3 linked regions of the Arabidopsis thaliana genome follow. The protein of the gene in region 2 purifies or fractionates together with the protein of the main gene of each other region. This does not show direct contact. Each region holds a gene or a part of one and is shown on either strand. Other genes may lie near its edges.

The links.
Region 1: the proteins of AT3G23390 (region 2) and AT5G56710 fractionate together in Arabidopsis thaliana (co-fractionation; one large-scale study listed by BioGRID). This does not show direct contact.
Region 3: the proteins of AT3G23390 (region 2) and AT4G26230 fractionate together in Arabidopsis thaliana (co-fractionation; one large-scale study listed by BioGRID). This does not show direct contact.

What each region holds. Positions count from the first base shown.
Region 1 is NC_003076.8:22,942,172-22,947,711, forward strand, and holds AT5G56710 (Ribosomal protein L31e family protein), read right to left. Parts: upstream 2,823-5,540; 5' UTR 2,766-2,822; intron 2,636-2,765; 5' UTR 2,597-2,635; coding exon 2,517-2,596; intron 2,112-2,516; coding exon 1,832-2,111; 3' UTR 1,536-1,831; downstream 1-1,535. Other genes in the region: AT5G56700 (FBD / Leucine Rich Repeat domains containing protein), read left to right, coding at 1-658, 766-906, 992-1,207; c-NAD-MDH3 (Lactate/malate dehydrogenase family protein), read left to right, coding at 3,267-3,426, 3,589-4,547; AT5G56730 (Insulinase (Peptidase family M16) protein), read right to left, coding at 4,735-4,800, 4,886-5,083, 5,176-5,256, 5,352-5,462.
Region 2 is NC_003074.8:8,372,967-8,378,169, reverse strand, and holds AT3G23390 (Zinc-binding ribosomal protein family protein), read right to left. Parts: upstream 2,838-5,203; 5' UTR 2,744-2,837; coding exon 2,741-2,743; intron 2,524-2,740; coding exon 2,344-2,523; intron 2,166-2,343; coding exon 2,091-2,165; intron 2,006-2,090; coding exon 1,946-2,005; 3' UTR 1,734-1,945; downstream 1-1,733. Other genes in the region: FIB4 (Plastid-lipid associated protein PAP / fibrillin family protein), read left to right, coding at 1-220, 378-614, 1,103-1,229, 1,320-1,534; RIC5 (ROP-interactive CRIB motif-containing protein 5), read right to left, coding at 3,462-3,884, 3,972-4,072, 4,166-4,223.
Region 3 is NC_003075.7:13,284,211-13,289,079, reverse strand, and holds AT4G26230 (Ribosomal protein L31e family protein), read right to left. Parts: upstream 3,344-4,869; 5' UTR 3,206-3,343; intron 3,081-3,205; 5' UTR 3,055-3,080; coding exon 2,975-3,054; intron 2,807-2,974; coding exon 2,527-2,806; 3' UTR 2,289-2,526; downstream 1-2,288. Other genes in the region: AT4G26240 (histone-lysine N-methyltransferase), read left to right, coding at 184-292, 384-445, 531-614, 1,012-1,066, 1,478-1,613, 1,816-1,866, 1,970-2,069; AT4G26220 (S-adenosyl-L-methionine-dependent methyltransferases superfamily protein), read right to left, coding at 3,934-4,224, 4,311-4,442, 4,549-4,773, 4,851-4,869.

The sequences.
Region 1 (5,540 bases), on a different chromosome or scaffold from region 2:
TGCCAAGAATCTGCCATTACACAAAGCTCCAATCATAGAAAGCCTGCGTTTTTGCTCTTTTTTTGGATCACTTCAACCTAAGGATTTGAAATCGTGGGTTAGAATTGCAGTTTCTCGCTGTGTGCGTGAGCTAAGCATCAGTTTACATGATACGACAGCTGCTGTATCATTGCCCAGTAGTTTGTATACCTGCAAATCGCTCGTGACTTTGAAACTTTACGGTAAGAAGGTTCTTTTGGATGTTCCTCGAACGGTATTCCTCCCTTCCTTGAAAACTTTGCAACTTGAACGTTTGAGATACTCAGATGAAGATTCTCTTCGCCTGCTTCTATCCTACTGCCCTGTTCTGGAAGATCTGAGTATTGTACGAGAAGACTATGACAATTTGAGAGCGTTAGTTGTTATTGTCCCATCCTTGCAGCGTTTATCCTTAGAGATACCTGGTAATTGTTCTTCTGATGGGTATGTGATAGTTACTCCTTCTTTGAAGTATTTCAAAGTTGTGGATTATAGAGAAAGTATGTCCTATTTGATTGAGCAAATGCCAGAGCTGGAAGAGGCAGATATTGTTGTTCTGCAGTATCCCGAGAAGCTTCTCGAATCAGTTACATTTTTCAAACGCCTTTCTATACGCGTAATATTCAACACTTATACAGAGGTCATCTGCTTTCATGTCATGTTTCCTACCTCATATTTTTTACTTAAAGACACAAAATCGGATTTCTTGAGCTTGAATCCTTTTTTATTGTGTTGTCATGTGTGCAGACTGTGTATCGTGATGGAATAGTCTTCAATCGGCTTGAAAATTTGAAGCTATGTATATGCAATGGTGATTGGTCCAAGTTACTTATCCAGTTTCTCAAAGACTCACCTAACCTGCGAGTCCTCAATCTCCTCGTTGATGATGTAAGTTTCTTCGTCGACTATTTTGTAGTCTAAATTCACACTATAGTGTAGTATTCTAACCTTTACTTTTTCTTTTTAATCTTAGTATCCGTCAAGTTTGGGGGATTATGAACCGGTTCGCTGGAAAAATAATAAGAGCTCCGTCCCGAAATGTTTGTTGGAGAGTCTTGAAACTTTTGAGTTTGCAGGTTACATAGGAACACCTGAAGAGAGGGATTTCTTGAGTTATATCTTCAAACATGCTCGTTGCTTGAAATCTTCATCAATCTTAAGCAGACCAGAACGGTATCATGGAATTTGAGTTTTATGAGATATGCTTCACAATAGAAACTTGAAAATGATCTAAGAGTATGGTTTTTTGTATTTCTTCTTCGAATGTGGGAACTTGTTTTCGAACAATCTATCGTCTGGCTTTTATGTGGTAAACTACAATCTGTATGTCTCTGCCTTATGGCCTTGTAAACTACTAGTTCGGAAGCTCAGTCAAATAGTCTCATGCCTGTTTAAGAAGCTACGATTACACAGATCCGAGCATGAAAGTAGCGAAGGTGAACACAGCTGTACTTCTCAGCGCAAGACATCTTATCAACAGCTCTTGATTCAAAGTTAAACCTAGTTGATTTATTTTTTTTGTCAAAAAAAAGTAAAAAATAAAAAATAATTTGGACGACATCTAGCATAATTTTATACACAGATCATTCCTACGATCTACTTTGTGTAAATGTGAGATTCGACAATTAACAAGCATAAAGAAAATTCCAAAGCAAAACAAGAGTCAATCATGAAGAAGAAAATGGGTCTCTTCAATAAACTGCATAAGTAAATTCAAGATGCACTACAATGAAGAAAGTGAAAGGTCAAGACTTTTAATTGAAACACAGCAACAAAAGTAAAAAACCAAACAAAACTTGTTCTACTGATTCTCTTAATCCTCCTCTTCGATGACCTTTGTGCCAAGACCACTGAGTCCTTCTGCAGGGATTTCAGCAACAGTGACAAGGGAGAAGAACTCTTCCTTCGCATCTTCATCGTCGTTTCTCTTACGTGCAACACGAACCCTGATCCTCCTTGGTGGACCTCTGATTCCCTTGCTCCAGATTTGCTTGTTCAATTTCACGTCTACCCTAACGTCCTTAGTCCCCATAGCTTTCTCTGCGAACTTCCTGATTTCCTTGATGGCTTTCGGTGCCTTCTTCTTAAAGGTGCTGTTACAAACCAATAATACATAAGTAGAGATACTTAATCACATAAAACCAAACCCACCAAAAAACCACATTCCACAAACCAAACTCTAATCTTAATTCTCTTTTACAAGATATATCAAATGAACTATACCCTTTCATTTCAAGACTAATTTCGATAGTAAATCCAAAAAACAATCAGTACAAATTTTTACTTTAAGTAACAAAACACACTTGATACGATTTTTCAAAACAATAGATACCATTTCCCCATGAATTCAATAACACCATGAATTTCAAAAGATCAGATTCTCTGGACTAAACGTCTGATTACATTTAGAAAAAGATTAGCTAACTTAATTTCATTACAACCCTATGATATTAACCAACAAGCAGCTCAAAACATGAACACAAAGAGTGAAATCTTACCATTTGTGAAGGCGTCTGTGGAGGTTAATGGTGTACTCTCTGGTAATCACTTCCTCTTTCCTTCCCTTTTTCTCAGACATCTTCTCTTTCTCTGTGACTTACTTCTTCAAACTCTTTACCTGCGATTACCCATTACAAAAAACCACTTCAAAATCGATTCTTTTCACCGGAAATCAAACAGATCTGTTCAAAGCTAGGTCAAGGACACAGAATTGAGCTAGATTGAGAAAGAGAGAGAGAGAGTAGTACCTTTCGATTGAAGAACGCCGAGAGACAGAAAGGGGACGAAGGAAGAGAACTAAGCATATATATGCGGCACTTTGAGTTAACCCTAAAATAAATAAATGATTGGGCTTTAATGGGCCTATTTTTTGTGCTATTATGCTTGGCATTTCCCTCTTACGCTTTCTTATTTTAGTAGCCCATTTACGGCCCAAATACATATGAAGTAAATGTTTTACTCGAATTTAAACTGATTGGTTCGATTAATTAATCACCCATGTTAACCAACAAAAATAAAAGTTTGAGGATCTTTATTTGGCTACATTTCTTTTTATAGATTCCTTGTTTTTGTTGCATGACTTAGATTTTTTGTAAGACGAAGTTTTGTTAAGTATCAGGTTATGTCCTCTTAGAAGCTTTTCATAGATTCCTTATGTCTTCTTGATTATTTTTTTTGGTTTTATAAATTGAACTTTGGAATGCATGACATTCATTCGTTGCTTTATTATCTTTTTTACTTGGAAAACAATGGAGTTCGTTGGAGAAGAAATTAATTATACTTTTGTGATTCAGAAAGTTTTGGTTCTACTGTTTTGTGTTGGTTTGTCATGGAAAATGATAATATACATGTGTAATTTGTTAAACATTGAGAAAGATCCTATAAGGGTTTTGATTACCGGTGCAGCAGGTAAGAACTCAAACAAAAAACGATCCGGTTTATGTTTTGATTTATAATTCTATCAATTTATTTGGTTTGGTTCAGTGTTTTTTTATTGGAGTCTTTTATCTACTACTCCCTACCTTTATGGTCGTTTGTTCTTAATTTAATTGAGAACTTTCTATTGAACAGGAAACATAGGATATGCAATTGCTCCAATGATTGCAAGAGGTATTATGCTAGGTCCAGATCAACCCATGATTCTGCATTTACTTGATATAGAGCCAGCTTCAAGTTCACTAGAAGCTGTGAAAATGGAGCTTCAAGATTCAGCTTTCCCTCTTCTCAAAGGCGTTATCGCGACAACAAATGTTGTTGAAGCATGTAAAGATGTGAATATCGTGATAATGATCGGCGGATTCCCAAGGATAGCAGGCATGGAAAGAAAAGATGTGATGTCGAAAAATGTTGTGATATATAAAGCTCAAGCTTCGGCTTTAGAGCGTTATGCATCAGATGATTGCAAGGTTCTTGTTGTCGCAAACCCTGCAAACACTAATGCTCTGATCTTAAAAGAGTTTGCGCCATCAATCCCGGAAGAAAATATCACTTGCCTGACACGACTCGACCATAATCGAGCTCTAGCTCAGCTTGCAGATAAGCTAAGTGTTCCCGTGAGCAGTGTAAAGAACGTGATCGTTTGGGGTAACCATTCTTCAACTCAATATCCCGACACCAATCACGCAACAGTCTCTACAAAAACTGGAGACAGACCGTTAAAAGAACTAGTCACAGATCACAACTGGCTGAAGAACGAGTTTATCGTGGAAGTTCAGCAACGCGGTGCAGCTGTTTTAAGAGCACGGAAACAGTCGAGTGCTTTTTCCGCTGCTGGTGCAGCTTGTGACCATATCCGTGATTGGTTTCTTGGAACCCCTAAAGGAACTTGGGTTTCTATGGGTGTTTGTTCTGACGGCTCATATGGTATACCACCTGGTTTGGTTTACTCGTTTCCGGTTATCTGTGAGAAAGGGAGTTGGAAGATCGTACAAGGACTCAGTATAGACGAGTTTTCGAGGGAGAAAATGGATGACTCTGCACGAGAGCTAGCTGAAGAGAAGGATTTAGCTTATTCCTGTCTCAATGTATAGACCAAAAGTTGAAAACTATGATAGTCATGGCACAAACAATGTAGCAAACAAATAAGTTTGTGTTTCTATATTCATGAAAAATAATGGGAACTTACATAATAAACGCTGAGGTTCACAGATACATTTAAAAACTCTGAAATCTTGGGGTTAAATAATCAGAAAATTGAAAGAAAGAGAGTTCATACTTCTACTTGCGAGAGTATCTCCAGATGCCAAAAACAACAACACCCAATCCCGCAATGCCAGCCAAAATCTAGTAACCAAAGATCCAAATTCATATCTTAGTGATTGCAATGTTACATTTACGGAGACAAGACAAAGAACAGATGAACACTGACCTTGGTATCACGGATATAAGGGCCCTCGGATCGTGAACTAAAGATAGATGAAAGAAATCCAAAACGAGATCTCTGCGGCATGAGAATAACAGCAGTGTACTGTTTCTTGCACGGGTGAGGAAGGATTCGCTGTAATGCAGCTTGTGCTGTTTGTGGTGCAAGTGACTCTCTCATTCGCAAACGCCCTTCTTCTAAAATCTAAAAACCACAGAGAAGTTTCTTCCCTTTTCGTAAGACTGTGTTTATAAAAAATGATCAAAGTATTGACAAAAAATGTTTTCTAAACTGACCTTGCAAGAGGCGCCCAAATCGCCAGCGTAAACCCTTGATTGATATCCACGTATAATCCTGTCTAACCAGTAATAGTTTTCCTGACAAGAACAAAATTAAATCAGTTTTGTTTCTGCAGCAAATTATGGTTTTTTGGCTGTGATGGATTTGTGATGATTATGGCAATAAAAAATACCTGCATGCCATTTTCATGAGCTCTTTGTTCGATTTCAAGGATAGCTGAAATGTCTTCCTGTGAAGGGCCTTCCTTTTGAAGCCGTACAATTTCTTCTAAAGCTAAATCAACCTGAAGGACACAGAGGTGGCTTTGGTGACCAACAGGCAGCCAAAGATATAGAGAAACCCGTCAGATAGTGTTAGAAGA
Region 2 (5,203 bases):
CGACCACCGTTCTCCTCCACCATCCATCAGATACTCCTTTTCTCCCTTAACTACTCCAAAATCGTCTCGTTTGGGTTTCACTGTACCGGAGAAGAGAAACCTCGCTGCTAATTCGTCTCTCGTTGAAGTATCCATTGGCGGAGAAAGTGACCCACCACCATCATCATCTGGATCAGGAGGAGACGACAAGCAAATTGCATTACTCAAACTCAAATTACTTGTGAGTCTGATTCAAACCAATCGGTGAAATTATAAGAAATTGGTTTCGTTTCTTTGGAATTAGGGTTTATATTACTGTTAAGATTCGATTATAGAGTGAATTTTGGGAAGATTTTTCAGATTTGATTTGTGATGTGTTGTGTTGTGAGAAATTGCAGAGTGTAGTTTCGGGATTAAACAGAGGACTTGTGGCGAGTGTTGATGATTTAGAAAGAGCTGAAGTGGCTGCTAAAGAACTTGAAACTGCTGGGGGACCGGTTGATTTAACCGATGATCTTGATAAGCTTCAAGGGAAATGGAGGCTGTTGTATAGTAGTGCGTTCTCTTCTCGGTCTTTAGGTGGTAGCCGTCCTGGTCTACCTACTGGACGTTTGATCCCTGTTACTCTTGGCCAGGTAATTCTTGAATCATTGCTCTGTTTTTACCCGTCAAGATTCGGTTTTTCGGGTAAGTTGTTGAGGAGTTTATGTGCATGGTCTAGTCTATCATCAATAGTCTTGCTTGAGTTTGAATGGGGCTGAGCTAAGAATCTAGCTTTCTGAGGTTACAATTTGGTAATGTCATCTTATACTCGAAAGCAAACTTTTTTCTATATTGTCAAGTTTATGTGTACGGTCTGGTCTATCATTGGTAGTCTTTGTTGAGCTTGAATGGTGAGGAGCTTAGAATCTAGCAATGTCATCTACTCCTTAATCATTTTTTTCTATATTGCCAAGTTTATGTGTACGGTCTTAGTCAATCATCTTTATTCTTGGTTGAGTTTGAATGGTGATGAGCTTAGAATCTAGCTTTCTTTGGTTTAAATTTGGCAAAGAACCATACCTGAATCGGTAGAAAGCAAACTTCTTTAATATTATCTCTTGTTTCTGAATCATTAAAACAGGTGTTTCAACGGATTGATGTGTTTAGCAAAGATTTTGATAACATAGCAGAGGTGGAATTAGGAGCCCCTTGGCCATTTCCGCCATTAGAAGCCACTGCGACATTGGCACACAAGTTTGAACTCTTAGGTTTGCATTTCCCTTTCTCTCATTAAGTTTATCGAATTGTGTAAGAGCAAAATAACTTATCTGTATCTTTGACATTTATGGGGAAAACAGGCACTTGCAAGATCAAGATAACATTTGAGAAAACAACTGTGAAGACATCGGGAAACTTGTCGCAGATTCCTCCGTTTGATATCCCGAGGCTTCCCGACAGTTTCAGACCATCGTCAAACCCTGGAACTGGGGATTTCGAAGTTACCTATGTTGATGATACCATGCGCATAACTCGCGGGGACAGAGGTGAACTTAGGGTATTCGTCATTGCTTAATTCTCAAAGCTTTGACATGTAAAGATAAATAAATACTTTCTGCTTGATGCAGTCTCATGAGTTTTGTACAAATCATGTGAACATATAAATGCGCTTTATAAGTAAATGAGTGTCTTGTTCAATGAATCATATGAAAGAATTTGTATGACTCAGAAAATTGGACAATGATATAGACCTTCCAAATTTTGCACCCTCTAATGTGAGATATTAGTGATTTTTTCTTAGGTTGGTAGAGAGAACGGATTGGCAAAAAAATATCGAAGGTCAATGATTAACAGCAAAACCATATCTTGATGATTCAAAATATAGAGTTAACAAGCAAAGATGAGACAATCTTATACGAGAGAGCTAAAACAAATGGATTCCAAATCCAGCAAGTACAAAAATCGCAGAAAATAAGATGAAACCAACTTAAAACAGAGATGTTCCCTTTCCCTTCTTGTCACCACCGATCTCGAAATGCTTGCACCTCTGAAATAAACAACAAACCAACACAATGTAAGCAAATTACCAAGTTACAAATCCGGTATAATGAACTGATCTATGTTCTATGCACCTTGATAGGACGCTGCGAAAAGTGCTTGCAGCTTTGACACTGAAGCCTCAAAACAATCTTCTTCGTGGTCTTAGCCTGTTAACAAGATTCACAAGATGTATCTCAGTCCAAAACTGAGACTATTGGAATGTCTGTTTCCTCACAGCTCACTTCCAAAATTCTACTATAAATGGTTCCTTAAAACTACCTCATTTCAACTAACTAGACCTAATTCAAACTGAAAAAACAATCAATGCATGATAATCAATGTTACCTTTTTGTGGAAGACAGGCTTAGTCTGACCACCATAACCAGATTGTTTACGGTCATAACGACGCTTTCCTTGAGCAGCAAGACTGTCTTTACCCTTCTTGTATTGGGTAACCTTGTGCAAAGTATGCTTTTTGCATTCCTTGTTCTTACAGTAAGTGTTCTTTGTCTTTGGAATGTTCACCTTCAAAATTCATAAAATCAAAAATGAATCACTCACACACATACAAAATCAAGAGACTTTTAAGGTTAATCAAAATACAAACATCATTTAGATTGAAAACTTTTATGATAGATCTGAAAAACAATACAATAAATCAATCAACCATGTATTGTTGTTCTTCAAAGTCAACGAACTTTACAAATTCCAAAATCACATCGAAAGAGAAGAAACAATTTACCATTTTCGCGTCTCTGATCTCCGGTGAAGCTTTTGTGCCGTCGTCGTTCCACTAGACGAAGTTGTTTAAAGAAGAAGAATTTATAGTACACTTTCTGAAAACCCTAATCTGACTTTGGGCCTTAGGTTTAACTAATAAGGCCCATATATAGTATAAGGATTGGTCATAAACAATGGGCCCATCTGTATGTCAAAGTCCTTTATGAGTTTTTGTTTCCTATTGATTTTTTTGCTTTTTGAATTAAATCGTCAAGACCCTGGAACTAAAGTTGAAGTGATCAAATGAAATCAAAAGCATCAAAAACAAAATTCAGTAGAAAAAAATGATTTACTTTTAAGTTTTGGTTTCGTTTGAACCAAGAAATAAAAACCTATTATAACATGTAAACGCAACAAACAATCGAAGCCCAATAGATATGTCAAACACACTCAAGTCTATTACTAATTGAATCCTAAGAACACAATCGAAAGATTCCTTGAGAATAATTTAAGAGTGTTAAGCAAGCATATATTTCACATCCCTGGTTCACAATCATCAAAGGGTTCTCTTTTCTCGACGCGATATAAAACATTGGTCTTGTAATGCAAAGGCATTTCCAACAAAAGGGAGAGAAAAGACTAAAGTGTGTAGATCAATCATGAGAAGAAACAATACCACCACCACCACCACACTCTAGTCTAATCTTGAAAATATAACACTCTCTTTCTTTGTTCCTCATCTTTCATCTTCCTGTAGAACTTCCAAGACCCGCACAAGGGTAAACCGCTCTCACAGATATATCTGTTTCTTTCTTGTTTGATGGTTCATTAGATGGAGGAGGTTCGCCTCCTCCTGTTGCTGATCCTTTTGACTTTTTTTGCTTTGATTGTTTTGGTACAACAAACTGATCAGTCTGTTGAGGTAACTCTAATCCTGAACCTGACTCTGACCCTGAACCCGTGTTCTGCTCTCTTTGTTTCCCCGTGTTGCGTTTTGATGGCCTTACTGATCCTCCTACCCTTGATGGAGATTCTGTAGGTGAGTTGTTTCCTGTTGATGTTTTACGTCTTCCCTTCCTATGTTTCTCCCCGGAACTCCCAGGTTTTTTGTTAGATGTTCCTTTCGTCTCAGTCTTCGTTTGATCGGTAGGCTTGAAATCATGCATCTGCATATTCCCATGAAAATATTTGACCTAATCCACAAACAAAAGATATGTAGAATATGTTATAAAAATATTGAGAGAAGGATATACCCAGCTTGGGGTGGTAGCTGAGGGCCCTTCCCATCCTATATGAGCAACATGTTTGACATCGGTTGGTATTCCAATCTGCATCTCTGGTTCCTTCTCATCCTCTACAACAATTTTTTTTTATAAGATTTAAGAATCTGATTTTTGGTAATTGTATAGACATATATGATCTTTGTTTCGAGAACAAATAAACTCACCGAAGATACGAGCAATGTACCTCAAACCTTTTAATAGACCCTTCATAGGTGAGGTCATATTCAACTTGCAGATGCATACCTAGCTTGCACACCAAGGAAAAAAAATAAACATTTTTTCATAAATTAATATTTTTTCTTTGAGATTCTTCTTCTCTTAGGGATACAACTTTCGGTAATGCATAGATTGGCCAAAGAATTAAATTGTTTTTGCGTGAATCCTATTGCGATAAGAATCTTAAGAAAAATAAAAAAGAACTTACATGTTTGTGGAGTAGATAAAACCCTATTTAACAAAGAAATAGATTCATATAGATGTCCAAGAGCTATGAGTTTCTGCAAATTTGAGAGGAATATATAAACAAACGATAAGATAAAAAACACACACATCTATTTCTGTTTGGAGAAGAAGAAAATGATACCTGGTTAAGAAAACTACACAAAATGTTACTATCTTCAAATCAAAAAGTTTTTTTCTCAAACTTATTTGTGTTGTTATCTTGTTTCTTGTTTTGTTTAAGAGAGAGGTAACGTAAGAAGAAAGAAATCTCAAATGTTGTCCTCTTTGTTCGATCACAAAGGCTCTCTTTTTTTCTTGCCTATTTCTTTTTTACATATGCATAAAAGCTACGTGGCGGATGATTATTGGATGTAGAAGTTGGAAGTCAAAGGATAGCCAGAAGATTTTCCCTTATTTGGTGGTTTCAATGCAATTTCTTCAATTCTATTTTAAGCTGATTTTGAGTCGTTTTTTTTCTGGCAAACGCGGGATATACGGTTTTTTTGTTTAGGGAAAGCCAAAAGTAAATCTCTAATCATCTTATTGAGCAAAATAGTTTGCATATACAGTAACCACTATGTATAATGTATATATATCTTAAATATATAGTTGGGTAATTTACTTTATTTCTTAATTATAAATTATATGATTATATCTACATAATTTGCAGGACTAGTTTTTATTGTAGTCAACAACTTCCCAAATAAGATGTTTTGCTTCACACATCGGTTGGTGTCGTTTTTTCCTTGGAGAACTTAACG
Region 3 (4,869 bases), on a different chromosome or scaffold from region 2:
ACAGCAAACCAAGCCGGAGATAAGAAACCGAATCAATCTTGCTAAACTATGGGCTGGGCTTCTTAATAGGCCGTAGCTTAAAGGCGTTTTGGCTGGAGACACTTTCGTTGAAGAAACGATGATGCTCATTGAAGTTTTCCTAATTTCTCCATCTTCTACTTCTGCAATCTGAAGAAAAATCAAATGAAGAAGTTAGCGAGAAAATGGCGGAGAACTCGTCGTGACGAAGATGATGATAAGTTCGTCCTTCCTACTTCTGAAGACGTCGATTCTCGGCCTATTGATACGCAAGGTTTATTTTGTTTCTCTCATCCTCTGGAATTTTTGGCAGATTTGTAAAAGCAAGTTCGTAATAGTTTATTGCTATCACTGTCGTTTTACAGAGCAGGAGGAGTACGTTCGGTATCTTGAGGAAGCTCATGCTCAGCAAAGTCTTCAATGGAGGGTATGATCTAAGAACAATATTCAATTTCTGCAAAATTTTGAGGAGTTCTGTTTCTTAAGTAAGTTTGTGTTTATCTTTTGTGTAGAGCGTGTTTGTGGTTCTTCTGATCTGCTTTGGAGCTTTCCTCTTCTACTCCATTTTCCAGCAGTTCATGTCACCATGGGAACTGGTACTGATAATCTCTCCTTAAGTGTGGCCTTGTTCGTCCTTCTAGCAATTCCATTTGATTGACTAGTTTTGTTGCTTAAGTTGAATTGAATTCAAAGTTAAAATTCAGATCAGATCACTTGTCTTCAGTTGCAGCGATTTTGATCTTAGAAGACAAAGTTGGATTAAAACTTAAGAGTTCAGTTTAAAATTGATTTTGTTTTTTAACGATAGATTACGGATTTAGAGCTTTGAGTTTCTTGCTGACTATTGTGAGCTAATACACTTGCAATCTTTGTATGATACACTAATTCTGCCTGCGTATGGAGTTGCAAGCACTTATACATACATACACAAATGTCACGTTATCTACGTTCTATATTCCATGGGTTCTTATGGATGCCATTTTTTTTGAGCAGCGGTATCATGCCTACTTTATGGAAGATCTCAAGTCATGGATGGTCATTTCAGCTGGTTTGTCTTACATCTATGTGATTTTTTTTACTTTGTAGTCACGGTTTATTAGATTTCTCTTGCCATTCGATATGGTGGTACAGCCAATTCTGAGCTTGTGTGGAAGTTTCTGTGTAATATCCTGTAACAACATGGGAAAAAACAGATATGTTATATGCATATGAATCTAAGAGCATATCTGTTAGTGGATTAGTGTAGAATTAGAAAGAGTGATTGCATTTTGAGTGTTTTCGACCTGAGGGAAGTCAAATTGCGTCTTTGCTAGTACAGTAAGATAAAACAAATTATGGTCATACTGAAACCTTACTGCCTTCAGAAGACTTTGTTGCTTTATCTTCAATTCATTTTTGGCTTCGCATGTTATTTGATTACTAGAACAATAAATCTTTTATCACTGGATTTTTGGATCAGAGTGGATCGCTATCATGGCTTGCTCCCTCTCCATTGTCGGGCTACGAGATAAGAAGAATGATCATAGACGATGGTTCTGGTACTCTTGTGTTGTTGGATCTGCATTGACCATCTTTTGGCTTTATTACTTGCTGAGGTACACTAGAGAGTATACATTTCTTTTCTTTTCGATACAATCTTGCACTTCGCAAACTTTCATTATTATAATGCCATTGTTAGTGGCATGAATCCTTGTGTTAGTCGTTTATGCTGTATTCAACATGAAGGACATTTCTTGTCTATTCCTTCCATTCGTGCTCTTTGTAAATTTATGCTTATAAATCTCACCCGTGTTCTAGGCTTCCGAAATTCCGGTGGGATGCTATCTGGCTTCCGTTTGGGCCGCTTTGGTATGTGTATCTATCGCTTAGATATAACCTTGTGTTGTTTTATATGCCCCTGTGTATGTAAAACTAAAGTTTGCATCAACTTTTCTGTACTTCGAAATTGCAGTGGAGCTGGAATTTGTCTATACGTGGACCATCTTCTAGAGGAGTCATCTGAGGAAGTGAAAAAACTGAGGAACTATATGTATGCATATAAAGCACGGTAGAGAGATAATAGCTACTTTCAAACCTCGTCAGAGTGAATTTGTGATAGCAAGAGTGCAAGTTTTGACTCTATTATCCCCTAAAGAACATTCTTCTGTTGTTGTAAATAGATACGAAACTCTGAAGTTCGTTTTGTTTAAAAACTCATGATTGACTCGAACTAGATTCCAGTTCATACATGTAATACTCTTGATTTATTCAAGCAATTCACTTGAGAGAGGTGCATAAACTTATTCATAGCTGCAGATATTATCATGATCGAACCAGATGCTCAAACTTTACCGAAACAAGTGTAAGGATTGTTGAAGACTACTTACGACACAAGACTGAGATTCTGTCTCAATCGCATACTATGATTCAAGGCTTAAGGATTCAAGAAGATAAATGTTCTCTCCAATAAAGATTCGAAAAACAAAACTCGAAAAATCTGATCAAATGTTGTTGTTACTATAAGATAGTTTAATCCTCTTCTTCAATGATCTTAGTGCCGAGGCCAGAGAGTCCTTCAGCAGGGATTTCAGCAACAGTGACAAGAGAGAAGAACTCTTCCTTTGCATCTTCATCATCATTTCTCTTACGAGCAACTCGGACTCTGATTCTCCTCGGAGGACCTCTGATACCTTTGCTCCAAATCTGCTTGTTCAATTTAACATCCACTCTCACATCCTTTGTCCCCATTTCCTTCTCAGCAAACTTCCTTATCTCCTTGATCGCCTTTGGAGCCTTCTTCTTAAAGGTACTAGTTTTACACACAAAGAAGATCAAACATTTCAATGTCACAATCCATAGAGAGCAATCGAATTAAAACATTAGCTAAGAGCTCATTATCAACATTCCAATTCCACTATCTAACAGTAAAAGCTTTGAAGCAATAAGACAAAAGTGTTTTTGGTGTTTTGGAAATTACCAGCTATGAAGGCGTCTGTGAAGGTTGATGGTGTACTCTCTGGTCACCACCTCCTCTTTCCTTCCCTTCTTCTCCGACATTTTATGTTTCTATCTTCTCTCTTTACCTGAATATATCAAAACTCAAATTCAGTTTTGACATATGATCTTAAAGACGAGATTAGCTCATTTTACTTTGTCACAAATTTTAAAAAAGGAGATTAAGATAAGAAAGAGAAAGGGATGAGAGTACCTTCTTCTCTCCACAAATGCCGAAATACAGAGCCGGTGGTGACGGAGAAGGATGAAGCTTATATGCGGCGCTCTATAAGAAGAAGAACTAACCCTAGTTGATTTTATGGGCCTTTCATCTACTAGACCTATATTTTTATGGCCCAACTAAGTGTTTCTTAACTCAAAAAAAAAAAAAAGAGTTCCTTTATATTGTGATTAACGTCTAACGATTTTTAACATTTGATAATTTAACTTTGGATAGTTTTTTTCTTATTTTTGAACAAACGTTGGATTTTTTAACTTTGGGTGAAAATATCTTGTTCTGTTTACTGTTTATATCACAAAACTAAATTATTTAATATACATTGTATTAAAAGCTAGCAAACTATATATCAATGTGGGCGTTTGGTCTAGTGGTATGATTCTCGCTTTGGGTGCGAGAGGTCCCGAGTTCGATTCTCGGAACGCCCCATTCATTTTTTTACTTTTTATATTAGATTTTAGAGCAATGTTCAGAATTTGGAGTTTTGCCAAAAGACACAAAACATAAAATGAGTTGTGTTTCTTCGTAACTGTCTGTTATAATCTTGAAATTTGAAGAAATCCACAAACTTGATAGAAAAGGTTCACATTCACACAGGAACCAAAATATCACATAGAACAATAACACTCTTGCATCACAATAGCTCAATATAAAGGGCTCACAATCATATGACCCTAAAGATCACAAAGAACAACAATACTCGCTCAATATAACCTCCTGCAAATAGTGATACCATCGCCAAGCGCAGCTTGCGAGATCTGCACACGCTGATCAGCCGAGAGTTTCTTGTTCAGCTCGAGGGTTGCTTTCTTGACTTCTATCCTCCACTCGGGCGTGGACGAGTCCGGTTCAGCAACTGATCCTCCCCAGAGAGTGTTATCATACACTATGATCCCACCAACCTTGATCAATCTAATAAGCCTCTCATGATAGTTCCAATAATTCAGCTTGTCTGCATCCACAAATGCGAAGTCGAATCCACCCTCATTCACTTTCTGCATCACAAACATCAAAACAAAAAGACCATCTCAGGATACATACTAATTCTTTTTTTGAAAGACAAAGAAGTATGAAGTTGTACATTGTTTAAAAGCTCGTCGAGGGCTGGAAGAGCTTCAGACTCTTTGAAATCAATTTTGTGTTCAACACCAGCTTTCTTTATAACCGGCAATCCTATTTCATACGAGTCTCTATTCATGTCAATGGCGATAACCTGCAGAGCTCGTGTACCAAATCAGTTGCAGAAATGATACAGAAGCAAAACAACGAAAAACATCATGACACTTTTTCTTTTGGTTTGGTCATATCTATGCAAATACCTTGCCATCTTCTGGTAGCGTAAGAGCAGTGAGGAGAAGAGAGTATCCAGTGAAAACCCCAACCTCGATAGTCTTTCTTGCATTTACCAGATTCAGCAGCATCCCCATCAACTGGCCAGCGTCTGGTGCAGTAGCCATACCAGCTTGAGGGTGGTTATGAGTAATGTTCCTAAGCTCCCTGAGAACCTCTGGCTCGCGTGGGTACACACTAGTCTCCAGTATATACTACAACATTTTTCACAGAAATGTATCAGAGAAATGGAGAAGTGAACTAACGTAGAGATGAGTATGTAAGGACAAACTTTATAGAGCTCTTCACTT